Linked DNA regions of Daphnia pulex. Each later gene encodes a partner of the first gene's protein in a complex. Links are inferred from orthologs where the notes say so. Each region holds a gene or a part of one and is shown in the gene's direction. Other genes may lie near its edges. The genes, in order: splicing factor 3B subunit 2-like, U5 small nuclear ribonucleoprotein 200 kDa helicase-like, pleiotropic regulator 1-like, serine/arginine repetitive matrix protein 1-like, E3 ubiquitin-protein ligase RNF113A-like, armadillo repeat-containing protein 7-like and small nuclear ribonucleoprotein F.

Region 1 (4,268 bases):
ACAAAAAAGGTAGCAGCCGATTCCTACAGTCTCGGGGTTAGCATCGAAAATAATAATAACAAGAGATGGGCTTCATCGAAATTGTTTTTTCCCGATGATGGCATCTATGGTGACGGATCACATCTCGTACGGGGGTTATTGCATACATGAATATGAATGGACCCGCAACAGAGGAGGTGAACGAACCACATGAGAGAGCCCTACGTCGTTGAAGGACACTTTGCTTTTATCAGTTAGTCCTGTGATACGTCCGGCAAACATCAACGTGATGTGGCCATCACTTTCTCTTTCATGTCATAGAAACCAACACGATATCAATGCAGGGCAAGGTAGATTACGTTCATGATTTACCTTTGTTCAAAGCCAGCCAAGGGTCGAATCAATAAATGAAGTTACCTCGTCTGCAAATGATATATCGATAAGCATGTCAGCAGACGGTTAGAGGACAAGGGTTGCTTAATAATCTACTGATAATAAATATACTACTACTAGCTGCAGCACACACACACACAATCTTCAAAGTGGGAAAAGCAACCAAATTGGTTAGTTTCTTGGCCTTGCGGTTGCACTGACCCTGGATCAACAATGCCCTATGGCGAAAAAGGCCGACTCTTTCACTCATCGTCAAAAAAAAGAAAAAATAAAACCGTAAACGTATATGAGAGACAAGGAGAGAAAAAGAAACGGTAATGGCTTCGTGGAAAGAATGTCAACGTGTATACGTAATGGCGTGAGAGTCTGAGAGAGACCTAGTGAAGTTGCTACACGGCCTGTGTGATGAAAGTCTCTTATCGATCCGGCTCACAGGCACATCTCACATCAGGGTTGTTGATAATGAAACTGATTTCTCTTTTAGCTTCTACCAACGTTTGATCGGTTCACCGACACCAAAAAATCTCAAGAGGGGTGAAATGGCCACACGCAACGTTTCTCATCAGATTTTACGAAAATGTGATTGTCGATGAGAATTTTCCCATCGAAAAACGATAATATCAAATAGGCTGGAAAAAACAATCTACAAAAGGTATGTACAAACGTAAAGGGGAGAGAACAAATGCCGTCGGTTTCACTTGATGCTGTAGACCTCTGGGCAGAGAGAAAACCAACCAAGACTGCCTTGAATGAGAAACTGAAAACAAGCCCCGACGAAAAGCCTGTCAACACACACCAAAACAGAATCGGCCAAACTTACCGGCCTCGCGATGAACTGGACGATCTCAATGAAAACAATACGTTCACAAACTAACTAATCACACCACTCCCACCGCTTTAGCAATACTCTCAGAGCACTTCGGTTTAAGAAACCGTTTTGACTGCAACTGCATCTCTCTCAGTGTGCCACCACAAAAAAAAATCATTTAAGATTCATCAGACTGCCATCTGGTGTTGATAGTGTGCACAAGCCTTTATTAAAAATTTAGGGCGCGTCGTGAACGCCATCTGCTGGTTTTCTGTGGTACCTCAATGAATATACGATTTGATCATGGCTTTTAGATTCGGCTTCATTTGGTCGTCGTTTACTCGCTTCACCCGTTTGGTTCTCTAACAAACTTGTTTTGCTATCGTGTTTCTTTCAAGGCAGTTTTAAATTAACGTAAAACTTCATCGTGTTTTACTTGGACGCGTCTATTTTGTCTATTGATTTGAAACACCCTTTTGATTGTGTGATTATTCTTTAGAAACAGAAAGTTATTTAGTTGAATTTGACATGGATCATCACATGCCGCCCGGCTACGGCCAGGAGAATTACATGTATGGAGATCCTTCAAGGTCCTTCCAGGGTAATGCTGTCGGTATGTATGGATCAGGTGCTAGACCGATGTCACCTCCTCCAGGTGATGAAGACATTCCCGCCCATGAACATCTCCCATCAGCACTTGAAGAAGTCCTTGCTTACAAAGAATACCGAGTACGAGAAACGGGCCACTCTGGAGAGGTTGATAACATTAGTGAGTAACACTTTTATAAATTTTCTAGTCTTCATGAAAGGTTTCGCTTGCAGGAATGAACTTTATTCTTTTCTATTTTTTTTTTAGTTAATGAAATCCCTGTCAAAACAGTTATAGAAACTGAAGGAACTATTGAAGAGAGGAAAGATGATTTCGGTGGGGAAGAAAACCTTGAAGAAAAAACTAAAACTCAAAGAAATCAAAAGAAGAAAAAGAAGAAGAAGCGCACTAAGAGACATCAACAGAAAGAAGAAGAAGAAGAAAATGAAAGGAATGATGATGCTGAAGAACCTCCACAAGTGGATATTGAGTATGTCCAGGAAGAAATCATTTATGACGACAAAAATCCTTTCTACCGACAGTTTGCCAAAATCTTCGAAGCATTTAAAATCATTGATGAAAAAACTGCAAAGAAAGCTGAAGAAGATGAAGCCAAAAAGAAAGAACTTCAAAGAAGTTTAGAACTTAAGAAGGTCCCCAAGTTTGCAGAAGAGGAAGATTTGGAGGAGAAAAAGGAAAATGCTGATGATGACAAGCCAAAAGTTTCAAAAAGAAAACTAAAACAACTTACTCGACTAAGTGTGGCCGATTTGAAGCAATGTGTTGCCAGACCAGACGTCGTAGAGATGCACGACGTTACTGCTAGAGACCCCAAACTGTTAGTTCTTTTGAAAGCAACCAGAAATTCGGTCCCAGTTCCTCGACATTGGTGTGCGAAGCGCAAGTACTTACAGGTATATTTTACTATGCACAAAGGGTAAACAATTCGTTTTAAACAAATTTTTTTGTACTTTAGGGAAAACGTGGAATAGAAAAGCCTCCTTTCAATTTGCCCGATTTCATCAAAAAGACCGGAATCATGGAAATGCGAGCTGCTTTGCAGGAAAAGGAAGAGTCAAAAACACTTAAAGCTAAAATGCGTGAGCGTGTTCGACCCAAGATGGGGCGTGTTGATATCGACTATCAAAAGTTGCATGACGCTTTCTTCAAATGGCAAACCAAACCCAAGATGACGATTATGGGTGATTTATACTATGAAGGAAAAGAATTTGAAACTCGAATGAAAGACAAAAAACCCGGAGAGTTGTCTGACGAACTGCGAACTGCTCTCGGAATGCCTGTTGGTCCTAGTTCAAACAAGTAAGAATCTATTCTTAATTTGACACCGTTTTGTGTTACAGTAGTTAATGTTAATGGCGTTTTCTTTAAGAATTCCTCCTCCTTGGTTGATTGCCATGCAAAGATATGGTCCACCACCGTCTTACCCTAACTTGAAGATTCCAGGATTGAACGCTCCAATTCCTGATGGTTCTTCCTTTGGCTACCATGCCGGAGGTTGGGGAAAACCTCCTGTCGATGAATTCGGGCGGCCTCTGTACGGCGATGTTTTTGGATTGACTGGAATCGCAGGCGATGTAAGAAAATATCTCATACTCTGTGTATAACAAATTCTATTAACCACGAATACTTTTGCCTCTTTTTCAGACAATTTTACTCGACGAAGAAGTTGATCGTACCTTGTGGGGTGAACTTGAATCGGAAGAAGAGGAGGAGGAAGTTGAGGAGAGTGAAGAGGAAGAAGGAGAGGACGAAGAAGGCGCCATTGATCAATCAGGTCTGGTTACTCCTGCAGAAGGACTTGCTACTCCTTCGGGATTCTCATCTGTACCTGCTGGTCTGGAAACACCAGATATGATTGAGCTACGAAAGAAAAAGATTGAAGCAGAGATGGAGAGGTATGTAACCAGTGTCAACTACTATACAACTGCTACTTTACATTTTTAATTATTCCTATTTTCACTCTTATTTAGTAACGAAACGCCTCAGCTGTATACCGTCCTTCCAGAAAAGCGAACGGACAGAATCGGTCAAGCGATGATGGGATCTACCCATGTATATGATATCGCTTCAGCTACGACCACTCAGAAGAGTAAGATTTGTCATTTTTTAGTTAATTTGTTGTTATTATGATTTTTCAATTAAATTTTTCATAGGTAGTGGTGGTGTGGAACTTAGTTTGGATCCCTCCGAGTTGGAAGGTTTGGACTCTGAATCAATGGCCGCTCGTTATGAACAAACATTGCGGGAGCAACAAGGCAACTTGGCTAAGGAAGATTTCAGTGACATGGTGGCTGAACATGCCGCCAAGCAGAAGGTAAGTCGTAAATCCAAATCAGTGATTATTAACTTGATTAATAAAATGTTTTCGTAATTGCAAAAACAGAGCAAGAGAAAGAGACAACAACAACAGACGGACACTAAACAGGCCAAGAAATACAAAGAGTTCAAATTTTAACATCCCTTTTGAAGCATTAAAAA
Region 2 (4,230 bases), on another chromosome or scaffold:
GGTCTTCCGGTTACGGATATGGCTCGGTAAGTTGCCACGCCCTACTAAACTACACGACCGTGATCAATGTCAATTATAGATTTTCACTAATTTTTTAAAATTTATTTGTTATTATTCTAGAATGCGCTCAAACAGGCCAAAGTGGTTGTGTCGCCCAAAACGTCTCCTTCACCGGCGCCCCCACTAGCGCCACCATCTACTACCGGAGCTTCGGTCTTTACAGTCAAGAGCAGTCCCGTTCGTCGGCCCCGCGGCGAGGCCAAAAAGTGCCGCAAGGTTTACGGAATGGAACACCGCGAGCAGTGGTGCACTCAATGCAAATGGAAAAAGGCTTGCACTCGCTTCGGCGAGTGAAACAAATGACTATACCACACCCCAATGTGTACGTATATATATACTATTTAATCCTTTCCGAGAAAAAGAAAAACAACCGCTCGGATTTCCGACTGTAGAAATTTAATCCGTTTTCCGCTTGATTTTGACATGGAACAAACGTCTCCCCTCCTTTTTCTTTGTCTGATTGTGTTTTGTTGTTTCATGGCTATTTTTCTTTTTATTGTTGTCGACAGGAAATTTTTTTTTAAATTTTGATGTCTGGTGCTGGATGTATTGCGGAATAGGAGCCAAGTTTTTGTGCGGATGACGGATCTCAAAAGATCTATGACACTTGGCGCGCTGGGCGGTTGATATTGTTTGAAACCATTTTTACTTGCGGGCAACTTTTTGACAAAAGACAAAAAAACGTTTTGACTTTATTTTTTATTTTTTTAATTATTATTGGCTTTCGTATTTGTTATGACAAATTCATGCCGGAGCGTGTTGTTGTGTGTGCATAATTTTCGTTGTGAAGATGCAGTGTTGTTTTGTATCTTGCCACTGACCAGGCTGCCGTAGCTCAGTGACGATTTCTCTGACTGGTGTCGTTATTACCTCTCGTACAACATCATTGAAAAAATATTGTTTTCATCCCTATGTCCCACCTCATATCTGCGTTACTCTCAAAAAAGCTTTGTACAGCGTTAGATGGCTTTTTTCTCTACCAATGTTTCTTTATTTCGTCGATTTAGAGTTATTTTTGCAATAACGCTGCGTGAATTTTAACGTTTATAGATTTACCCTATTTAGACCTGATTTTGTTTTTCCATCTCCTTTGTAGTTCGCATAGTGGGGGGTTTTGTTTCTGTGTTTTTTTCTCATTTCATTCTCAAGACCGATGGACTTTTGAAAAATGTTTGGTTTTTTCTCCTTACAAAAATGGTGTTTTAGTTTCTTAATTGCTTTTTTTCTGTATTTTTTTTATCCCTTTTTTCGCGCGTGTCGACCCAGAGTTTTATGGCGAGATTTTTAAATTTTTCAATATACAAATTTCCTCTCGAATTCTGAATTTTGTTTTATTACAAACTGGCAACGCTGTCAATTGCCTGTTCGAACAGCATACGAAACTTTCGTCAGTGTCTAAAAGCAAGCCGTAAGAAATGGCGGACGCCGCAGCACGTTCGCTCCAGTACGAGTATAAAGCCAATTCTAATTTGGTTTTACAAGCTGACGTTCGTTTAATCGATCGCCGAGCACGAGATGAAGCCACCGGTGAGGTTATGTCCCTTACTGGGAAGTTGGAAGGAACTCGCATGGGTGACAAAGCCCAACGGATGAAACCGGCAAAACGTCAGAAGCGTGATCCCAACAAAACTGATATTGGTGGTAAAAATGGTGGAAAAGGACCTTTGCAAAGCGACAACCTGGATGAAATCTCTGGCATCATCTACAGGCCCAAAACGCAGGACACCAAACAGACTTACGAAGTGCTTCTCAGTTTTATTCAGGAAGCGTTGAGTGATCAACCCAGAGATGTGTTGTGTGGTGCTGCTGATGAAGTCCTCACGGTTCTCAAGAACGACAAGCTCAAGGATAAGGAGAAGAAAAAGGAAACAGAGGCTATGCTTGGCTCCTTGCCAGAAGAAAGATTTGCCCTGCTCGTTAACCTGGGTAAGAAGATCACAGATTGGGGCCAAGACGAGAAAATGGGTACTGGAGAAGAGCAAATGGACGACCAGTATGGCATCAATGTGCAATTTGAAGACACAGACGAAGAAAACGAAGAAGAAAATGTGTATGGAGAGATTGGAGAAGAAGATGACGGTGAGGATGAAGCTGATGAAGCTGAAACAGACCATGCCATTCATGCTGATGCTGTCGCAAGTGGCGTCGATTTGGGCGGTAAAAAAGAGAAGAAATTGCATCCCCTCGATATTGATGCCTATTGGCTTCAGAGGAAGCTGTCAAAGTTTTACAGTGACCCCATGGTGTCTCAAGCCAGAGCCGGTGAAGTCCTCAACATCCTCAAGAATATCCAGGATGAAAGAGAATGTGAAAATCAGCTAGTTGTCTTGCTTGGTTTTGACTGCTTTGACTTCATCAAGCTGCTTAAACAAAACAGACACATGATTCTTTACTGTTCGTTACTGGCATCCGCACAGAGCGAAGCTGAACGTCGAAGCATTCAAGACGAGATGAAGAGCAATCCCCATCTGAACAAGATCCTTCGACAATTAGATACTGTGAGGGACGACACTGGAATCGAACCGATGGAAGTCGATTTTAAAAAGAGTTCACGTCAAGGTACTTCTGCCTCCAAAGAAGTCGGAGGTGGAGGACAGGAAGGGTACAGTGGCATTCCAGGTCTTCGAGAGCTACTGGACTTGGAGGATCTTGCATTCGCTCAGGGCTCTCACTTCATGGCCAACAAAAAGTGTACACTTCCAGAAGGTATAATAATTTAGTTTCTCATCTTTTAATTTCAATCAAAATTTAAACATGGACTTGTATTGCAGGTTCTTTCCGAAAACAGCGTAAAGGCTACGAAGAAGTTCATGTGCCACCATTGAAACCTAGGCCTTTTGATGCTGATGAAATGCTTATTCCTATCGATAAACTTCCAACCTACGCCCAACCAGCTTTCGAAGGATTCAAAACGCTCAACAGAATCCAGTCTAAAATCTATAAAACAGCTCTCGAATCGGATGAGAACATGTTAATTTGCGCCCCAACCGGCGCCGGCAAAACCAACGTGGCTTTGTTGACAATGATGAGAGAATTGGGCAAGTACATCAATCCGGACGGAACAATTCGCGTTGATGAATTCAAAATCATCTACGTTGCACCCATGCGTTCGCTCGTACAAGAGATGGTGGGCAGTTTTGGCAAAAGACTGGCGCCTTTCAACCTGAAAGTTGCCGAATTGACGGGCGACCATCAACTCAGCCGTGAAGAAATTGCACAAACTCAGGTGATTGTCTGCACGCCCGAAAAGTGGGACATTATCACTCGCAAATCAGGAGACCGAACCTACACGCAACTGGTCAAGTTGATGATCTTTGACGAAATTCACTTGTTGCACGACGACCGTGGTCCAGTTTTGGAAGCCTTGGTAGCTCGTACTATCCGCACCGTCGAATCCACTCAAGAAGATTTGCGATTGGTGGGTCTTTCTGCCACGCTTCCCAATTACGAAGATGTGGCCACTTTCTTGCGTGTCCGACCCAAGACGGGTCTATTCTTCTTCGACAACAGCTACCGCCCTGTACCCTTGGAACAGCAGTACGTTGGAATCACGGAGAAGAAAGCTGTTAAGCGTTATCAGATTATGAACGAAATTGTATACGAGAAGGTAATGGAGCACGCCGGCAAGAATCAAATTCTCGTCTTCGTTCATTCGAGGAAAGAAACCGGCAAAACAGCACGTTCCATCCGCGATCTTTGTTTGGAGAAAGACTCTCTGGGAGCCTTTCTACGTGAGGGTTCCGCTTCTACGGAAGTTTTGCGCAATGAAGCCGAACAAGTTAAGAATCAGGAGCTGAAGGACCTACTTCCCTATGGTTTTGCCATCCATCACGCTGGTATGAGCCGTGTGGACCGTGCTTTGGTCGAAGATTTGTTTGCTGATCGTCACATCCAGTTGCTCGTTTCCACAGCTACTTTGGCCTGGGTAAATATAATAACTAATCAGAGCGTTTTAGAAAAGGTCAAATTTTAACGATTTTTTTACCAATATTAGGGTGTCAATTTGCCAGCCCATACTGTCATCATCAAAGGAACGCAAGTCTACAATCCGGAGAAAGGTCGATGGTGCGAACTTGGATCTCTCGATGTCTTGCAAATGTTGGGTCGTGCTGGTCGACCGCAGTACGATACCAAAGGTGAAGGTATCCTCATCACCAACCACAGCGAGTT
Region 3 (3,815 bases), on another chromosome or scaffold:
CATTTCTTGCCGGTCAATCTGGCGTTGGGAACGCCGCTTAGGTGAAGGTTGGCGCGTTGATCCACCACCACCACCTATACCCGTCGAAACGCTATCAGAACTATCAACTTCAGAACTCATCGCACTGTCGGCGTTTCTCGAGTTACTAATTGCCGGGCCATGCGCAGCTGAATAACAATGGTCAAGTGAGATGGACGCAACAGCCTCAGTGTCATCCGGAGCTGGATAGAAAAAACAATAATATAATCTAGATACACTTACTACTACTACACAAAGTTATTTGGCAAACCTCCTGTAAGTTCGGGATCAAGCAGGTCATCTAGACCAGCTTCTGGTGGGAGAATATTGTTGAAAAAAGCCCCAGCTTCTGCTTGTAATGCATGCTCAATTTTCTCGATCTCTTCCTGATCAAGAGCTAAGAGTGGATCTGTTGTTTCTAAAACTTGCTCACTAATTTTTGGCCCTGCTTTGACATTTCCATTAACTTGAGCAATTTCCTGGTCAGTTTCCATCAATTCTTCCTCGTTTTCCTTGAGTACAGGGCTAGAGACTGGGTTGAAATCTTCTTCTACAGTTATGTTGACATCAGTACTGCTGTCACCTGCAACATCATTGACTCTAACTACGCTTAGAGTTGTATTCTCTTGAGAGCCTGAAAATAAGGTAAATGAATAAAAACATGATTTCCCTCCAAAATGTGACGACTTACTAAGAAGTTGAAGTGTTTCCTGATCAACTGATATGTCACCAGTGTCATTATCAACAATAATGATTAGTGTGTTTCCAGCAGAGGAGCTATCGTCTGTGGTATCTGCCACAAAAGTACTCGACATGCTGTTGTCGAATTTGTAGCACACTTGTATCTAAATGTCAGTAAACGAGTAATCCAAAACGCGTCACTTATTGACCAGCTCGGAACGGCCCACTATCAAAGTTCAAACCAAAGCCACTAAAAACTTCACCCGATTCTATGGGCAACCACAAGCCCAAAACTTTTTTGTTGACAAACTTTGAAACTCCTGATTGCATCAAAATACACATAAACACCAAGCCGACTCATGGCTAGATGCCGCCATTTTGCGTTTTTTTTATATAAATCAATTTCAATGTGCCATGTTGCCGGCGACGCTTCCAATAGAAGCCATCTGGCGTGAATAATTACATCTTCTGTTAGTCACTAACAGATGGCGATTTGATCAGTACGTTAGACAACGCCGGCAACAATCGAGTACAAACCTCATGTAAATTTTGATTTGGTTTCGTTTTTACAATATAACAACAATCATGGGAGAGGTAAATTTTGCAATTAAAAAAATTATGAACAATTTCTAATTTACAAAATTTCATATCTCTACAGGATATTCAGAAGCATTCCGTGCATACGCTAGTGTTTCGATCACTGAAGAGAACCCACGACATGTTTCTGTCAGAAGAGGGTAGTCTACCTCCTCTTGATCAAAAAGCGTGTGTTGAAATAACTTTACATTGTTTCAACGTATTAAGTAACTCAATTCTATTTGATTATCTAGAGTGTCTGCCTGGCGATCATCAAAAGCTAAAGATACGTATGGTCCAATAGTTGAACTGGTCAGGAAACAACAAGAGATAGCGAAAAAAACAGGGCTTCCGGTAAATTACCCTGGAGGACAGCTTGCTCTAACTAACAAATCTGGTAATTTATTTTCCCCTATATTGATTGGAAATATGTATTTTTAAGTGGAATGTTTATTTTTTTACAGAACAAGATGGAGAGACCAGCCAAGCTTTGGCTCTTATGCCTTCAGGAACAATCGGGGGACATCAGATGCCACAATCTTCAGCAAATGTATCAACTGTTGGTATACCAGGCTATGCTGCAGGTGAGAAAAATATGCAGTCATTGTTTTCCCATCTATTTACTAAAAAAGAATCTTATTAGGTGGACCCACAAACAATACACAATCTTTAATAACCCGTAAAGCCCCAACAATGCCCAAGCCACAGTGGCATCCACCATGGAAACTTTGTCGTGTTATCAGTGGTCATATTGGTTGGGTACGCTGTGTAGCTGTTGATCCTACGAATGAATGGTTTTGCACAGGATCTGCTGACAGAGTTATTAAGGTAATTTATTCCTTACATTTATAAGAGTCAAGTTTTTCATTTTGAAATTCTTATAGATTTGGGATTTGGCCTCTGGACGGCTGAAACTTTCGCTTACAGGCCATGTCAGCACCGTCCGTGCTCTTCAAGTCAGCCCAAGACATCCGTACCTTTTCAGTGCTGGTGAAGATCGACAAGTGAAATGCTGGGATTTGGAGTACAACAAAGTAGCCATCACCATTTCAATTTACCGTGTAAGAAATATTAACAAAATCTTTTTCAGGTTATCCGGCACTACCACGGCCATTTGAGTGCCGTTTATAGTATGGCCCTTCATCCAACCATCGACGTTTTAGTAACTTGTGGTCGTGACTCTACTGCCCGTGTTTGGGACATGCGATCCAAAGCAAACATTCATACCCTAACTGGCCACACCAACACCGTAGCATCAGTTGTTTGTCAAGCAGCCGAACCTCAAGTATTCAAAGCAGTTTTCGACACTCATAATCCAGAATTTTAATTTTACCTTTCGAAACCATAGATTATTACTAGTAGTCATGACAGCACTATTCGATTATGGGATTTGGCGGCTGGCAGATCAATGGCTACTTTGACGAATCACAAGAAAAGTGTCCGGGCAGTGGCAATGCACCCTAACCTGTATGAAGCTAACCCATTATTTCACAACACATTGAATGTACAATTAATTTTAAAAAATTATGTTGCAGCTACATGTTTGCATCCGCCTCGCCGGATAATATCAAACAATGGAAGTGCCCCGAAGGCAAGTTTATTCAGAATCTTTCGGGCCACAATGCCATTCTTAATTGCCTTGCCATCAATGCTGACAACGTAATGGTATCGGGTGCTGATAACGGATCACTCCACTTCTGGGATTTCAAGACTGGATACAATTTCCAGCGCTCACAGGTATAAATGCATTTAGTTGAAACTGTGTTTTGAACGTTTCTTTAACTGTTCCTATTCAAATTTAAGGCCCCCGTGCAACCAGGCTCAATGGATAGTGAAGCTGGAGTATTTGCCATGGCCTTTGACCACAGTGGTTCACGTCTCATAACGGCCGAAGCAGATAAAACTATCAAAATCTACAAAGAGGACGACGAAGCTAATGAAGAGACACACCCCATCAACTGGAAGCCCGACTTATTAAAACGGCGTCGTTATTAACTCGCCATCTCCTGTACCGTACAATACAACTTGATTTTTAAACGATTTGTTGGCGCAAACTTGTATTATTACTTCAGTAATGTGCTGAGTTATTATGCGCTTATGGATTATTTATATTATGGATAGCTCGGGAATCCCAAGCTATCCCGAGTCGGGATAGCTTTAGCTTGTCAATTATATAATCACTGATTTCAGCGTGAATGTTTTAGGCAATCAAATAGTGATGAGGTTCTTAGCAATTTAGAATACCTACTTGAGAATAATTTAGGGTCACTCCTTGTTTGTGATAACGTATTAGCTTTCAACAAGCAGCCAAATGCCACACGTAAAGAACGAGTACATAAAAATCTTCTGGTTTTCAATTCATCCCAAAATGTAGTTAGAAAAAATATTGTTAAAAAATGTTAAGACTAGTCAAAGAAAACCTTTTGCTTCGTTGCATAACATTTAATTATTTAATTTACAAAGCTCACGTTTTCACGCGGTCTTAAATTTTGAAACACTGTATTTTGGCGGGAAAAATGGAAGGGAAACCGAGAACCCTG
Region 4 (4,085 bases), on another chromosome or scaffold:
AAATTGGACAAGTTTGTTACCTTTTTTCTTCTTGCCTCGGCGTATCCTCACTGGACACAAGAAAGCCATGACTCAGGTGTGCACCAGACACTCAACACACACTAACACACGCACTATTAACTCGAAATCGATTGGTAAAATGCACTTGATTAGTTTAATTTGTTTGACACAATTAGCAGGGCAATGTCGATTGTTGTATGTTCAGTCGTCAGGTGAGAATGAGAATTGACACAGCAGCAGAAAGAGTCAGCCTGGAAGAAGGCCTGGTTTCTGCTTCTGTTCCATGGCCTCCGCCAATACCCACTGGCACTGCACACCTTGAAAAACAGTCTCTGCTGGTAGATGGGAAGAAGAAGAAGAAGAAGAAGAAGCAACAACTTTACCTCCCAATCCCCCCTCTAACCAATTCCATCCAACCAGGTTTTCTCAAATACAGTTTGTTGCCTTTATGCTCCAGGGGCTCTTTTTCTTACCTTCTTCTTCTTCTTCTTCCTTCATTCACATTCTTTCCCTCTATATGCACCTTTATTATTATATACCTTTGGGCTCTTCTTCTTCTTCTTTCGCTGCTGCTGCTGCTGCTGCTAATTTATTTCTTCCCTTTTCTTGAGGATTGGAGTTTTTTTTGTTTGGGAAGGAAGAGACGCTTTTTACCTGTGCACACCGCCGCGTCTTATAGCCTAGCGGTCACGTAAAAGGTGCGCGCATGCCAGCTCAAGCTAAAAGGGATGTAGTCAGTCAACCAACAAGAAAGCCTTTTATTTTCTTAATTCATTTTTTTTTCTTCTTTTCAACCATTTCTGTCTGTGGTTGATTTATACTTTTTGATGGTTATCTTATTACACTTAAAAAAAAAAAGCCTTTGGGGACAAAGTTGCACCGGTCGTACAGTTATTTTATAAAGGCAAAGAGAGTTCAAGGAGCTCAAGTCTACTTAATAAGCAGTGACCGTTTGCTACCTACTCGCAGGATCAAATGACAAAACAGGTTCCTTGCAATTTTGGCTTCAACTGAAAAAACGACATTTTTCTTATAGTCAAATTAACCGGTTGGACGCGCCATGATTTCGGGATACATTATTTCGCGTCGATAAATTGAGAGGAAACCTTAGATTGGCATTTTCCCGTTATTCGTCCAATTGATTTTGTCATCGAAGAAAATTAGTTATGCGTAGCGTAACCCATATTTGATATGTTTTGTCCTTTTTTTCTTTCAGAAGCGCTGGCAGGAGCTGGCGCTATGCATATGCAGCAGTCGATTTATTTTTCTAAACTGGCAATGCTGTTTCCATTTTCCTGACTGAAGGGACAAGAGGGAAGGCGATCAATTGAGTTAGGGGTCCTCCATTTAAGACTTGAGTTTAGCCCGGCTTTATTCTCCCATTTATTTTTACTTTTATAGAATTACCTCGATTTGAGGTATTTTTCTTTCACAATGACTGATGCCGGTTTCTTCAGAGTAAGTGTTAATAATTACCCAAGTTAGAACTATTATTCCCTTGAATTGTTTGCAGCATCTCGACACGCCAACTCGGTCGTAAAATTCTTGCTTCATCAGTTGTGAAATCTGTTTTGTTAACTGATGGGATGCATTGTAATATTTGAATTCTTTCAACAGGGCACCTCAACTGAGCAAGACAATAGATTTAGTGACAAAGAGAAGAAGCTTTTGAAGACTATCAAATTTGCTGAAAATGTGACTAGAAAGGTAAATTATTGATCACCTGTGCAACTTTAACAACATCAATATGAGTTACATGTTAATATTCATTAATGCATGTTAAAAAATTCAGGTGGATATGAGCAAAGTTAAGTTGGAAACCATCAAACCATGGATCACAACCAAAATTACAGAACTTATGGGAGGAATTGAAGATGACGTCCTGGTGGAATATGTTTTTAATCAGCTCGAAGCTGACAAGGTAATATCCTTTTAATCTCAGCCGTGTAGATTTATCTTATGGGAAACATTTGCCACCAAAGCTTTTCACCAATCATTCTGCTGTTTATCTTATGCAATTTTTTTAATATCAGGCTGAAATAGCCATCACATACTAAGAATGATTGAACGTCAGCTCCTTTGCATCTGGTTCTTGTTTGTAATTTGGTTTAATGTGAAAGATAAGTTATGATTTAAGTTTTCACCACCCAGATGGCTTTGATTATATTTTGTCTGTGCTCATGCTCATCTCAATATCTTGTACACTTTTGGGTCCTGTGTTATGAAGACTTAATGTGGAATTGCATCAAAGCCTTGTTGTCACCATGTCACACACACCACCTTGACATGATGGATGCAAGGATTCTTTCTCGACCGAGACCTGGTCGCATTATTTCGAGGTCTTCTCTTCGAATTGATTCACCTTTCGGCCTGTTCCGTGGACGATTCCTCTTATCGTCGGCCACGATGTCTATGGATTTGGATTTCCAACGTTTCGCAGTCGACCGATGAAGGATTCACTCCTGCGAAATGATGGAATACGGCACGTTCTAAACCATCGAGTCATGAGAGGCAATTCTGGGATCGCCTTTCGCCCAGCCAATGCAACGCCTTCTCCCCCAGTTGATAGTTAACCGCACAGTCGACAACAGGGAAAACTCCTGTGTGGTTAAGTCGGGCTCTGATCGCAGTAGGCCTACTCAGGAATCCGTGTTGAGAAGCTGAGAAGAAGAGATCCTTTCGTCTCGGCCCAAAAAGCAGGACGGTACAGTCGACAGAGATAAGACTCCTGTGCCGTTCGCTAACGTGGTCGAAGCTGCTAGATTTGCCTGATAGATGACGACAGACCATCCCATCTTTAAAAATCACCTGATCGATCGCATCGTGGTGCCGGGGTAGCCATCAGGAGTAGGACTAGTCAGATGACGACCCAATAGCTGGGCGGTACAGTCGACAGGACAACTCCTGTGCCGCTCGCTTCGTGGTCGTCTCTTTGATACCGAGTCGCCGGTGTTTTTATGACGGATGGGAAACTCGGTTCTCCCTCAACGCCCAGATTGGAAAAAAAGAAATAAGAGATTTTTTTCTGTTGTCACTCTGGTCGAGCTCTCAGGCAAGAATAACAAACCAAAACAAACTACGTAAAACAGCTTATCCTTTTAAAGAGCAAACCCCTGAAAGGTATTGCTCGCTTAATCCGCCGAGATCATACCGAAACCTAATCTATTTGTGTCCGTTTACTTAAGTATCTCTTTTCCATTTCGGTTGTTTGATTTTTCTGTTATTTGTCTTTTTTTTTTCTTAAAACCTATAGAACCCTGACCCTCGTCGCATGCAAATCAATTTAACTGGATTCCTCAACGGCAAGAATGCCAGGATTCTGATGACTGAATTGTGGGATCTTCTACTATCTGCCCAAGAATCGTCTGCTGGAATTCCGGAGGTCTTTATGGCACAGAAGAAGGAAGAAATCAAATTAAGAAAGGTATGCAACCATCGGAAATAATTCGCGGTATTAGTTTTGTTTCTATCATTTTCGTCTTTATTGGTTTGCAGGAAGAACAAGATCGAATCCAGGAAGCAATCAAAAAGGCCGACCGGGATCGGCGCGCTGACCGAGAAAAGGAACGCAACGACCGTACTGACAAACGAGCTTCCAAAGATAGAAGCCGTAGCCCCAACAAGGACAGGGTGATCAAGAAGGAAGGAGACAATCCCCGCTCTTCACCTCGTCGTGACGGCCGACGTCCTTCATTGGAGCGTCGTTCTCCTAATCGAGGCAAGGCGTCGCCACCGCCTCGTCGTCGCTCACCTGCCAGATCGCCAGCAAGGCGCTCGCCTCGTCGATCTCCACGTCGATCACCTGTTCGTCGCTCCCCAGCTCGCCGTTCTCCTGCACGCAGATCTCCCGCTCGTCGCTCGCCAGCTAGACGATCACCCGTTCGCCGCTCTCCCGCTAGGAGATCTCCAGTTCGAAGGTCCCCAGCCCGCAGATCTCCTGTTCGTCGGTCACCGGTCCGCAGGTCGCCCGTTCGAAGATCTCCCAGGCGTTCACCTGTTCGTAATCATTCTCCTCGGCGTCCTTCACCACGCCGTTCGCCCGTGAGGAAGTCACCCGTTCGACACCGGTCGGCGGAACGTCGTCG
Region 5 (3,745 bases), on another chromosome or scaffold:
ATGATATATACGCTGAAACTGCATATAGAGAACATAGAGCGAAAAGTCTTCATAAAAGGGCAGCAGCCCCATTAGAACGCGCGCGTAACTTGTGTGTGCTGTGTAAAGGATTGATCCTGCTGCCGTGCTGGCCCTTCTCTCAAAAGCCCCTTTTATACGTGTATAGTAGTGTAGCATGTGGATATTATATATCTTGTCTGGATCATTCAGCTTCTGTATAAATAGGCCCTCGCTTTATGCATAACATGTATCTATCATTGAGTCCCTATTTATAGCCTCCTCCCCTCTTTGCATAGAACGAAACGGTATATCTGCAAAACTGTGCTGCAATAAGTCAATGTGCCAATCCTGCTGGAGGAGGAAGTCAAAGTTTGGCTAGATGGGCTTTTCAGTCAGCGACAAGTTTGACCGAAAAATTACTTATACGGTACGGCGAAATAAAAATATTTTTTGTTTTAAATGAATAGGTATAGATATTGTAGTGCAGTATAGGTGTATAAATGGAGTCGGAGGATGGAGATCAAGTAGCTTTTCATCGGACGGTGAAGCGCTTCGTGCACTTTTGCGGCCGGGTTTTCTGGCCTGCGCGTTCCTTATTATTTCAACTTGATGAAAAGTGCTGGGCTAATTAAGGCGCTGTAAGGGAATCATCAAGCGAACGGCCCCCAGCAGCTAGCAGTCTGCTGATGATATAGAAATAATAAGCGCGACATCGGGCAAAGACGAAAGAGGCCCGCGGAGAACAAGCCCCCAAAAACCAGCAAAAAGAAAAAAGTAGACGAACGAAGAGGAGATAACAGTTCAGTGGCCGCCGCCCCACCCAGAAAAAAAAAATTAATAAAAATTGGGTAGGGGAATTAAGAAAATAGAATTATTATTCAGTCATATGTGGCGAAAAGGTTCTTAAAAGCTTCGGCAGTCTTTTCTAATTGATCGCCAGCAGAAGCGTATATAGTGCGTATTATTATTTCGAGGAGAAGAAAGAAGAAGGTCCTCAGACTCTGTGATGCGCCGAGCACATCTATACATATATACACGCCACCAGATTATTAGAGGGGAACCTACTAATTAATGAAAGGATGCTCCTTTTTGTACTGCCTGTGTGTAATCGAGTCGCCAGAGATTTTTAAGTAACGTGATTCTTCCCCCCATCCATTTCATTTGCACAAGGAAAATAAATCACCAAGGCATATGGAAATGATTAGAAGAAGACCATAAGAAATGACGACGATGCCTAATAATAATGATGTAAAGCAATAAGATATGTCGATTTTATTTTTCCAAAACAAATGCAAAATAGCAAAACCCGTAGTAGTAGTAGTAGAAACGGATGACGTTAAGATATATTCAAAGTCTCAAGCGGGTTTTCGGGGTCGGATCATTAATACCGACATCGTAGATGACAAATCTGGATCACAATAATAAAAGCTTTTGTGTGTGTGTGTGTGCATAGTTCTCTATGTACTAGTCTCTGTTGCTGTGCATATATATGTAAATCTGCAGCAGATCCCTTGCTGCGTATTCAATCAGTCATCAAGAACCCAATTAGAGGAATCAGACAACAGTGCACCGGTAATCCTTTTGAAAAGCCGACGACGAGAAGACGGAAGGATTTTTATTTTATTGTTCTCGTTTGTTGACAAGTCAAAATACATTTTTATATACAAAAAAGGAAAGCTTGATCCAACAAGAAAATCCACAAACAAACAAAAATGGCCGACGACAATAAAGTTTGCACGTTTACATTCAAGAAACGAAGAGGAGGAGGAGCCGCCATGAGGAGAAAAGCTGATGATGACAAGAAAAGCAGCAGCGAAGATGAAACTGTTGTTGCTCGAGTGGGGAAAAAGGAATCGGCTGGACTTCTTTCGGCTAAAACTGTGAGTTATTGAAAGTCTCTGCAAAAAGAATTTGTGTTTCTCATCGTGTTTTTTTCTTTTGGGGTTGACAGTTCAAATCCACGAAAAAGTCCCGTCAAGAAATCCAAAACAGCTCTGATGAGGAAGTCAAGGAAAAGGTCACAGTCGTCTTCCAGTCTGACAGAAGTGCTGAGAACAAGAAAGACGATCTTGCCACTTCCACAGTTCAGATCGACACTGCCGTCGATCAAGATGCCAGGACAATTTTTGAGAAATCTTTACAAAGTAGGTCAACTTTTTTATTTAAAATGAACCAAAATAATGTTTTGTTTCTTTGACAGTCCAGCAGGAGCTGAAAGGCAAAGCAGATGACAAGAAATATCGTGGCCTTGCTAACTATGCCCAGTACTACGAGAAAAGAGATACAGCCCAAGGAAATGCTGCATCTGCCAATGTGAGAAAAGGCCCCATGCGAGCCCCAGCCAACATCAGGTCAACAGTGAGATGGGATTACCAACCAGATCTTTGTAAAGATTACAAGGAAACGGGTTTCTGCGGTTTCGGAGGTATTCAAAATCTAACCAAAAGTTTTTGGGGTTATTATCATCATTCAGTTGAACTTTTATAAAGCTTTGCTGTGTTTTATTAGACAGTTGTAAGTTCTTGCACGACCGTTCCGATTATAAATTCGGATGGCAGTTGGAGCGAGAAGAAAGGGGAAAAGGTGAGCCGGCCGAAGACGACTCAAAGTATGAAATACACTCGGACGACGAAGATTTGCCCTTCAAGTGTTTCATCTGTCGCGAGTCGTTCCAACATCCCGTTGTCTCCAAGTAATAAAGACTCTCTCCTATTCATTTATAAGAAGGAGAATTTAACGCAAATTTTGACACGGCAGGTGTAAGCATTATTTCTGCGAGGCCTGCGCCTTGAAACATTACCGCAAATCGCAGCGGTGTTTTGTTTGCGGCAAACAAACTTTTGGTGTCTTTAACCCGGCAAAGAGCCTCATCGAGCGGCTCAAGTTGGAGGAAGAAGGCAAAACTTACAAGGAAGCAGACAGCGACGAGGAGCTCAACAACTTGGAATTGATTATGCAGCCGTCTGGCAGCACTACTGGTAAACCTACGGGAGCAACAGCAGATGTGGAGGAGCCCGTTACGGAGATTGAGCACATTCACTACGCAGACGAAGGAGTCGTGGCCAACGATACGGATTCAGATGATGACAGCGATTGAGGATAAGATCATCTTTATTTTTTCCCCCTACCATTCACGTGTAAGAATACATTATTTTGTAATTCCTTCTTTTTTAAATAATGCTTTCAATTGACGTATAAAGTGTATTTAACTTTAACGAGTGAATTTGCATAGGCACACAATTTAATTTTTGTTTAAATCATTTCATTAAAATTTATCAAGACTCATCTTCAGAGTCGTCCTCCTTCTCGATCAGTTTCCATTGCTCGGCGATTTCCAGGGTTGATTTGGCGCAGTCGCAAATTTTGGCCATTTCAGGTGTTTCTGTGTGCAGAGCGGATTCAAATGGGTTACAAAAAAGATTAGTTCAAGGCACCATGTCAAAAGTTTTAACTTAATCCTCTTTACCGAATTTGGTGAGAACTTCCAGGACCATAATAACCTCAGGTTGCAACAACTTTTCGGCCAACTCTTTCGAATGACTGGCGATGTTTTTGACGATAACAGCTCCTCGATATTGCACGTCTTTGTCCGTATTGCTCAGTAGGAAGCAAAGGATTTCTTTCCACTCTGTCGCCTATTGACAAATTTAACAAGAGAAAAAAAAAGTTAAAATCAATTCCAGGGAAAAAGTTAAAAAGAATGGAGGCAAACCTCGAAAACTTTCCGTGAAGCCCGTTTACTGAC
Region 6 (2,971 bases), on another chromosome or scaffold:
CAACAGGAGTTATCAAATATACAGTCCTATCAATGATCATAAGAGTGTCGAACAACGGAGATATGGGGGGATCACAGTCTACCCCAATATCACTCGCATTCGAGTCATCAATTCGAATACGTTACGGGCATGGCGCCCCTTACCCACAACGTTGGGGAAAATGCCATATAAACTTTGGAGGGACATTAACCCATGAGCAATTTGGTGTAAGGAGCTGATTTCATTGTCAACATATAAATCCTGAGAATAAATTTGAAGAAATTGATGACAAGCAATCCCTTTCAAAGTTTGGCTCATAAATAAATACCTTGAAAACATTATCGAGTTCCATTGAAATGACATCACTATCTAGTGGGAAAAAATCAACAGGCAGTTCATCAATAGAAGTAAGAGTTCCATACACTCCTTTGTCCTAAATGAAGTAATAATTTTGTCAACAATTTCTTCTTCGCTGATTTAAGTAACTTTAACCAACCTTGAGCCGCTGTTCACATACTGCACTTCATCGGGAGATAAAAATTAACTGATATTCCTTACTAGCAGAATGTCCTTGGCTTTCTTCGCTGAAATGTAAATTAACTTATTGTTGACTATTTAAAGTTAAAATATGTAGATTATTCATACCTGTGCAAGTTATCGGCAATACAATCCATCAGCTCAACTTCAGGTCTTGTGATGAACAGTATATTTTTAACAGATATGGAAGGCAAGCACCCAGGTTTTAACTGGAACATTTTTACAACATCTAGTTCCTTAAGAAAACTGTATTCTGCCACCAAACCAATGGGGCCAGTGAGTTGTTCATCCCAAAATATTGCCTAGCATAATTGATGAATTTACGTACATTTCTTAAATGGAATAGCACACACCAATATACCTTTGTTCCACTGAACTTCTCTAAAAGAGGAACAATATCCTGTAACAATAACAAAACTGTTGACGAAATTTATTTTTACTGAACAAGACATCAACAGACTGTCAACAGACAACCTAATGGTTTTTGTGGTTGTCCTAAGTCACAAAAAGCTAATGACTAAATCCGCATAAAATGAAATAAAATTTAGTATTACCAAATGAATCGAAACTTACCTATCCGCTGAGATAAATTACTGTAAGTTTACACAAAAAGTTTGAAGAAAATCGATGCAGTAGTTTAGATTTCTATAAATTTATTCTGATTCTGAATTAAAGGTTCTGGAAGCCTGGCCCAGAACACCGTACACTCCCCCCACATCCCTCCCCCTCCTACACACCCAGACACCCGCATTTACTTTAATGCCTTCTGGTAGTACAAGTACTACCCTCAGGGATAATGTTTACTACTCGTAAACAACTTTATCGAAAATCGGGTAAAAAGGGAGTAGATCGCTTCGAATTCCTTCAAGAGTTGGTTAATGAATTCTATCAATCGAATTCTCTTGGTATGTTTCATCTTTAAAAACAAATTTTAAAAAATTACTACTAAATAATTTGTTTCAATTATTTTAGAAAGCCAAGAACAAGTTTTAGCTAATTTGGCCAATTTTGCGTATGATCCCTTGAACTATGATTATATCAGAGAACTCAAAATAATTGAATTGTTCTTAAACGGACTGCAAAGCAGAAATCCATTCTTTGTTGAATACTGTTTGAAGGGTATTTGTAATTTGTCCAATGATCCCCTGAACCAAGATATAATATTCAAACACAATGGACTCAATCATATTAAAGAATTTGTAAAGTCTGAAAACCCTGATTTAGTGAAACACGGACTTACTACTTTGATTTTTCTACTTTCATCAGCAATTCCATCAGGTAGTAAGATCTAATAAAAGTAACACCATTTTATGATTTTAATTTCTCATCTATGTTTATCAACAGATGTTGCCACTTCCGACTTGATTGCCCAGATTCAACTGTTAAAACATAGTGAAAATCAAAACATAAAGAACTTGGCTACCATTTTCTTAGAAGAGTCATCTGGCATCAGTTCAGGCTAACTTGAAAGGAAATGTTCATCAAGAGAATAAAGTGTATACTCCAGAAGAGCACCAACATGAAGATGAATCTTGCTGAAGGGATAAACAAAAGATTTCTTCAATCATTCATTCAGAAAGGCTCCACAGTAGTAGAACTTAAAAAAGTAACTTATGCAGATGTGGAAAGTTTTTCCAAGTTGACAGGTGACTTAAATTCAGTTCATTTTGGTGGGGAAGCTATAGTTCATGGGGTTTTGCTTAATGGCTTTGTCAGTGCTGTTCTTGGCACCCAGTTACCTGGGCCTGGTTATGTTGTTTATGAACAATCAATGACTTTTCCAAATCCCTGTCGAGTTGGTGATGATGTAGAAATTCTAGTAGAAGTCGTAGAAGCCAGAAAAATTGTTGTCTGTAAATACGTGTGCACAAGTATTAATCAGCAATGTGTTGTTCATCAAGGTACCGCTAAATTATTGAAATTTAAAGGATTAAAATAAAACCTACATCCATGTAGCCTATGCGTTTATTTCTCGGCGCGTCTCTTCAGCTGATCTACGTTTAACTTCAAGCAGGAAGAGGACTGTTAGTCCGTTCCAAGAACTCCCTAGACAGTTTTTCAAAGTGTAATGGGTGAATGTAAATACATAACTAATAAATTATAGGGATTAAATTAAAATTTACCAGAAATTTTCTGCCGCATTAGCTCCATGCTCTTCTCGATTTGCTGATTCTGTTTGCGTATTCTTACAAAACAAAAAATGCTTTGTCATTTGCATTTTGCCTTTGATTTCTATTCGGATGGCACGATTCAAGAGACCGTATAACAGTGGATTAATGCTGATTGATGCATACATAAGCCACGTCACCGTTATAGAGCCATTGTTTGTAACGTACCCAGGAACTGCGTCACACAGAAAATCTTCGTGATGAACAATGGGGATCACGTTCAATACCCAATAGGGCGACCACAGTACAATGTAGGAACCGATTGTAAGCACTAACGTCTTGATTGC
Region 7 (2,713 bases), on another chromosome or scaffold:
AAATACCTGTATAAGGAAGTTTTAAAACTGTTGGATTGGCAGAAGAAGCATCTTGTGAAGATCTTTCCCCTTTATTCAATCCTGAAGCTGCCTCCAATAATCCAATTGCAGGGGATGGCGAAGAGGGCTGTGGATGTAATGTTGGATTCAATAAGGAAACTCCGATGACACCATGACTTGCAGAGCGAACATGTCCCTTAACTCCACCCGGCCAACCCCTGCTTGGCAGGGGGTTGACAGTTTCAAGCTCTATTGGGGGTTGCATCACATCAGGAAAAATGTAGGTGGTACCCGGTGAATCAAAATCCATACCGTCCCTGAAAATGAGAGAGTACCAAATTCAATTACAATTGAATTTCTTTAACCATTCACGAAACTAACTGTCAAGCTTGTGACTACCAACAACCAACTCAAAATCAACACAAACTTCTGAGCAATGGAAAAGGGAGAGTTATTTACTCACCAAACATCTTATTTCAATATTGCTGAAAAAGACAAGTCAGCTTTTGTTTTCAAAAAATGTCCATGGCAGACTAAAATCAACAAATCGTCTTAACAGTGGAACGATTGTTCGTTTATTTGGTCCAATGATGGAACCCAGTGAGGAAATGGAAGAAAAACAATCGGTTGGAAAGTGACGTCAACTTTAAAAAAAGTGCAAAAAGATGAAAGAATGGTAAGATAGAGTTTAGTGTCAGCAACTGAGCAACTTGTTGTGTGTCCACGTATATAACGGCAAATTCCAGCTGTGCACTGCTTTCAGCCTCTGCTGCATACACCGTACAAGCTTTACTGCCAGATTTTACACTCGGTAACCGATAATAAAGGAAATTGCGCGGAATGGACACCGGAGTGAAATAAGAAACCGGTTTGTTGACCGTTTAAAAGCTTCCAAAATGTAAAATTGAACCTAAAAAGTCTTTCTGTATCAAGACAAACTGTGATAAATTCCTATCTTTTTAATTCCGCGAAACGCAAAACCCTCTTTTATTACTTTTTAGAGAGCGCTAATTCTGGTTGTGAAGCTTCTCTGTTCTTGCCAATTTGTTAAAAAGACTTTTCATATCCACGACCACGAGTCACTTATTAAACAAAATCACTTAATAACGATACATAAAAAAAAATTCTCCTTTGGTTGTAAATTTTTCCAGCTATTATGATTGAAAACAGAATAGGTGACGTGAGTTTTTGGTCCGGAACCAGAGATCCGGGATCGTTGCTCTACGATGGATATCTCATTACATTACATCAAAAAATTATTTAAATAATCCTATTTTATAAGGTAATTTTAGTTCACTAGTTATTAGGTTTAAATATGTAAATTTCTTTCCTACAAAATGGAAAAACTTTCTCAAAATTTGATGTACTTAATAAGACGACTTGGCAACCCTTACTTCTGATCTTTACGTTACAGAACGTGTAAACTGAAATAACGCGGCTTGACTCGCTTGTCAAACATTCAATCAAATTTTGTAAAATCGTTGACTAAAACAAATACAAATCATGGCAGTAAGTTCAAAACCTAAATCTTGTTGGGTGGTCCTTTTTAGCCGACCATTTACTAACATGTTATATTTCATATTTTCAGGCACCCATGCCCATCAATCCCAAACCCTTTCTCAATGCCTTAACCGGCAAACCGATTATGGTAAAACTGAAGTGGGGCCATGAATACAAAGGTTATCTCGTTTCAGTTGATGGATACATGAATCTTCAGGTACTGTAATAATTATACCATGTAGTGCATTTTCATCAGTAAAAAAATGAAAACATGCTGTTGCACGAAACAGTGTGCATATATGAACAATGGCAATAATTCTTCTTATATTATCACAGTTGGCAAACACAGAAGAATATATTGATGGAAGCTGTACTGGAAACTTGGGTGAAGTTCTTGTCAGGTGCAACAATGTACTTTACATACGTGGAGTGGAAGAAGATGATGAGGAGGGAGAAATGAGAGATTGATTGCTGTTTGTATTGAATTTTTCATCCTTTAATACATAATGTCATTTCCTATCTATCTCATAGAAGTTATTGTATAGGAAACCTGGAAACCCTAAAAAATATGTTCTGGTGTATACATTACAAGATTCCCACAGACAACGAAGGACAAACAAGTAAAAAAACAGCTTTTCAGTATCCAAATTCCAAACACAGAACCGTTGTCTACCGTATTGGTGATTTAATGTTAAGTATACTGGAATTTCTTACGTTCCGGCGATTTTTTCCATTTAGTCGGAAAATAAAGGCTTTGTCTAAATGGAAAATGGTTAAGCTACCTTATGAATGAAGTTAGTAGGCAGCCCGCAGTCCCGCATGCTCGTAAAACTCAAGTCACATTTCTTTTCCACTTACACCAACTTGTTCGTAAATATATTTTGTAAGGTATAAATCAAAAAGGCAAACAAATCCGGAAACACCTTTTCCGATTGGCTCACGCTGGTACCAGCTGATGTCATAAGAATACCTAATTGCTTATGAATATTAATTGTTCAATACGTTTCAATTGGCCTGCATGTAACACGGCTGTTAACACTATAGGACGGTAAGCATGCGCAAGTTATCACTGTCGTTTGAACGTTAGGGGAGTTATAGGCTGTTGAACTCCGAGATGAATTACTACGGTTTGAAACAAATAATAAACATTGTACAAATGTACGTTCCTAACTAGACAACGAAGATTAAAACGTTACTGTCAGGATCACATTTA

The links.
Region 2: splicing factor 3B subunit 2-like (region 1) and U5 small nuclear ribonucleoprotein 200 kDa helicase-like share a complex: the UniProt entries of both Homo sapiens proteins name them as parts of the minor spliceosome. The link is inferred for Daphnia pulex from reciprocal best matches to the Homo sapiens genes SF3B2 and SNRNP200.
Region 3: splicing factor 3B subunit 2-like (region 1) and pleiotropic regulator 1-like share a complex: the UniProt entries of both Homo sapiens proteins name them as parts of the minor spliceosome. The link is inferred for Daphnia pulex from reciprocal best matches to the Homo sapiens genes SF3B2 and PLRG1.
Region 4: splicing factor 3B subunit 2-like (region 1) and serine/arginine repetitive matrix protein 1-like share a complex: the UniProt entries of both Homo sapiens proteins name them as parts of the minor spliceosome. The link is inferred for Daphnia pulex from reciprocal best matches to the Homo sapiens genes SF3B2 and SRRM1.
Region 5: splicing factor 3B subunit 2-like (region 1) and E3 ubiquitin-protein ligase RNF113A-like share a complex: the UniProt entries of both Homo sapiens proteins name them as parts of the minor spliceosome. The link is inferred for Daphnia pulex from reciprocal best matches to the Homo sapiens genes SF3B2 and RNF113A.
Region 6: splicing factor 3B subunit 2-like (region 1) and armadillo repeat-containing protein 7-like share a complex: the UniProt entries of both Homo sapiens proteins name them as parts of the minor spliceosome. The link is inferred for Daphnia pulex from reciprocal best matches to the Homo sapiens genes SF3B2 and ARMC7.
Region 7: splicing factor 3B subunit 2-like (region 1) and small nuclear ribonucleoprotein F share a complex: the UniProt entries of both Homo sapiens proteins name them as parts of the minor spliceosome. The link is inferred for Daphnia pulex from reciprocal best matches to the Homo sapiens genes SF3B2 and SNRPF.

The regions. Positions count from the first base shown.
Region 1 is NC_060020.1:5,124,850-5,129,117, forward strand, and holds the start of splicing factor 3B subunit 2-like, read left to right. Parts: upstream 1-1,468; 5' UTR 1,469-1,708; coding exon 1,709-1,949; intron 1,950-2,036; coding exon 2,037-2,683; intron 2,684-2,745; coding exon 2,746-3,089; intron 3,090-3,159; coding exon 3,160-3,364; intron 3,365-3,434; coding exon 3,435-3,685; intron 3,686-3,760; coding exon 3,761-3,879; intron 3,880-3,943; coding exon 3,944-4,104; intron 4,105-4,173; coding exon 4,174-4,245; 3' UTR 4,246-4,268. UniProt on the Homo sapiens protein: Component of the 17S U2 SnRNP complex of the spliceosome, a large ribonucleoprotein complex that removes introns from transcribed pre-mRNAs.
Region 2 is NC_060022.1:2,646,595-2,650,824, reverse strand, and holds the start of U5 small nuclear ribonucleoprotein 200 kDa helicase-like, read left to right. Parts: upstream 1-1,430; 5' UTR 1,431-1,475; coding exon 1,476-2,766; intron 2,767-2,773; exon of another isoform or gene 2,774-2,779; intron 2,780-2,831; coding exon 2,832-3,985; intron 3,986-4,054; coding exon 4,055-4,230. Other genes in the region: zinc finger protein 704-like, read left to right, coding at 1-26, 121-354. UniProt on the Homo sapiens protein: Catalyzes the ATP-dependent unwinding of U4/U6 RNA duplices, an essential step in the assembly of a catalytically active spliceosome. Plays a role in pre-mRNA splicing as a core component of precatalytic, catalytic and postcatalytic spliceosomal complexes.
Region 3 is NC_060021.1:1,388,871-1,392,685, reverse strand, and holds pleiotropic regulator 1-like, read left to right. Parts: upstream 1-1,167; 5' UTR 1,168-1,284; coding exon 1,285-1,293; intron 1,294-1,357; coding exon 1,358-1,464; intron 1,465-1,529; coding exon 1,530-1,672; intron 1,673-1,739; coding exon 1,740-1,859; intron 1,860-1,918; coding exon 1,919-2,103; intron 2,104-2,159; coding exon 2,160-2,309; intron 2,310-2,365; coding exon 2,366-2,560; intron 2,561-2,623; coding exon 2,624-2,742; intron 2,743-2,810; coding exon 2,811-3,012; intron 3,013-3,078; coding exon 3,079-3,270; 3' UTR 3,271-3,315; downstream 3,316-3,815. Other genes in the region: death-inducer obliterator 1-like, read right to left, coding at 1-221, 290-652, 710-833. UniProt on the Homo sapiens protein: Involved in pre-mRNA splicing as component of the spliceosome. Component of the PRP19-CDC5L complex that forms an integral part of the spliceosome and is required for activating pre-mRNA splicing.
Region 4 is NC_060027.1:2,460,199-2,464,283, forward strand, and holds the start of serine/arginine repetitive matrix protein 1-like, read left to right. Parts: upstream 1-1,285; 5' UTR 1,286-1,434; coding exon 1,435-1,458; intron 1,459-1,617; coding exon 1,618-1,707; intron 1,708-1,792; coding exon 1,793-1,921; intron 1,922-2,234; exon of another isoform or gene 2,235-3,052; intron 3,053-3,253; coding exon 3,254-3,424; intron 3,425-3,495; coding exon 3,496-4,085. Other genes in the region: SH3 domain-containing protein Dlish-like, read right to left, coding at 21-69. UniProt on the Homo sapiens protein: Part of pre- and post-splicing multiprotein mRNP complexes. As a component of the minor spliceosome, involved in the splicing of U12-type introns in pre-mRNAs. Involved in numerous pre-mRNA processing events.
Region 5 is NC_060022.1:4,929,451-4,933,195, reverse strand, and holds E3 ubiquitin-protein ligase RNF113A-like, read left to right. Parts: upstream 1-1,488; 5' UTR 1,489-1,712; coding exon 1,713-1,880; intron 1,881-1,951; coding exon 1,952-2,144; intron 2,145-2,200; coding exon 2,201-2,425; intron 2,426-2,508; coding exon 2,509-2,692; intron 2,693-2,757; coding exon 2,758-3,097; 3' UTR 3,098-3,245; downstream 3,246-3,745. Other genes in the region: protein unc-45 homolog B-like, read right to left, coding at 3,276-3,382, 3,467-3,635, 3,713-3,745. UniProt on the Homo sapiens protein: Required for pre-mRNA splicing as component of the spliceosome. As a component of the minor spliceosome, involved in the splicing of U12-type introns in pre-mRNAs. E3 ubiquitin-protein ligase that catalyzes the transfer of ubiquitin onto target proteins.
Region 6 is NC_060018.1:4,531,617-4,534,587, forward strand, and holds armadillo repeat-containing protein 7-like, read left to right. Parts: upstream 1-1,214; 5' UTR 1,215-1,312; coding exon 1,313-1,421; intron 1,422-1,488; coding exon 1,489-1,794; intron 1,795-1,860; coding exon 1,861-1,979; 3' UTR 1,980-2,471; downstream 2,472-2,971. Other genes in the region: probable G-protein coupled receptor, read right to left, coding at 2,523-2,562, 2,640-2,971. UniProt on the Homo sapiens protein: As a component of the minor spliceosome, involved in the splicing of U12-type introns in pre-mRNAs.
Region 7 is NC_060019.1:9,593,681-9,596,393, forward strand, and holds small nuclear ribonucleoprotein F, read left to right. Parts: upstream 1-1,362; 5' UTR 1,363-1,503; coding exon 1,504-1,509; intron 1,510-1,588; coding exon 1,589-1,717; intron 1,718-1,836; coding exon 1,837-1,968; 3' UTR 1,969-1,977; exon of another isoform or gene 1,978-2,019; intron 2,020-2,031; 3' UTR 2,032-2,213; downstream 2,214-2,713. Other genes in the region: phospholipid-transporting ATPase VD-like, read right to left, coding at 7-310. UniProt on the Homo sapiens protein: Plays a role in pre-mRNA splicing as a core component of the spliceosomal U1, U2, U4 and U5 small nuclear ribonucleoproteins (snRNPs), the building blocks of the spliceosome.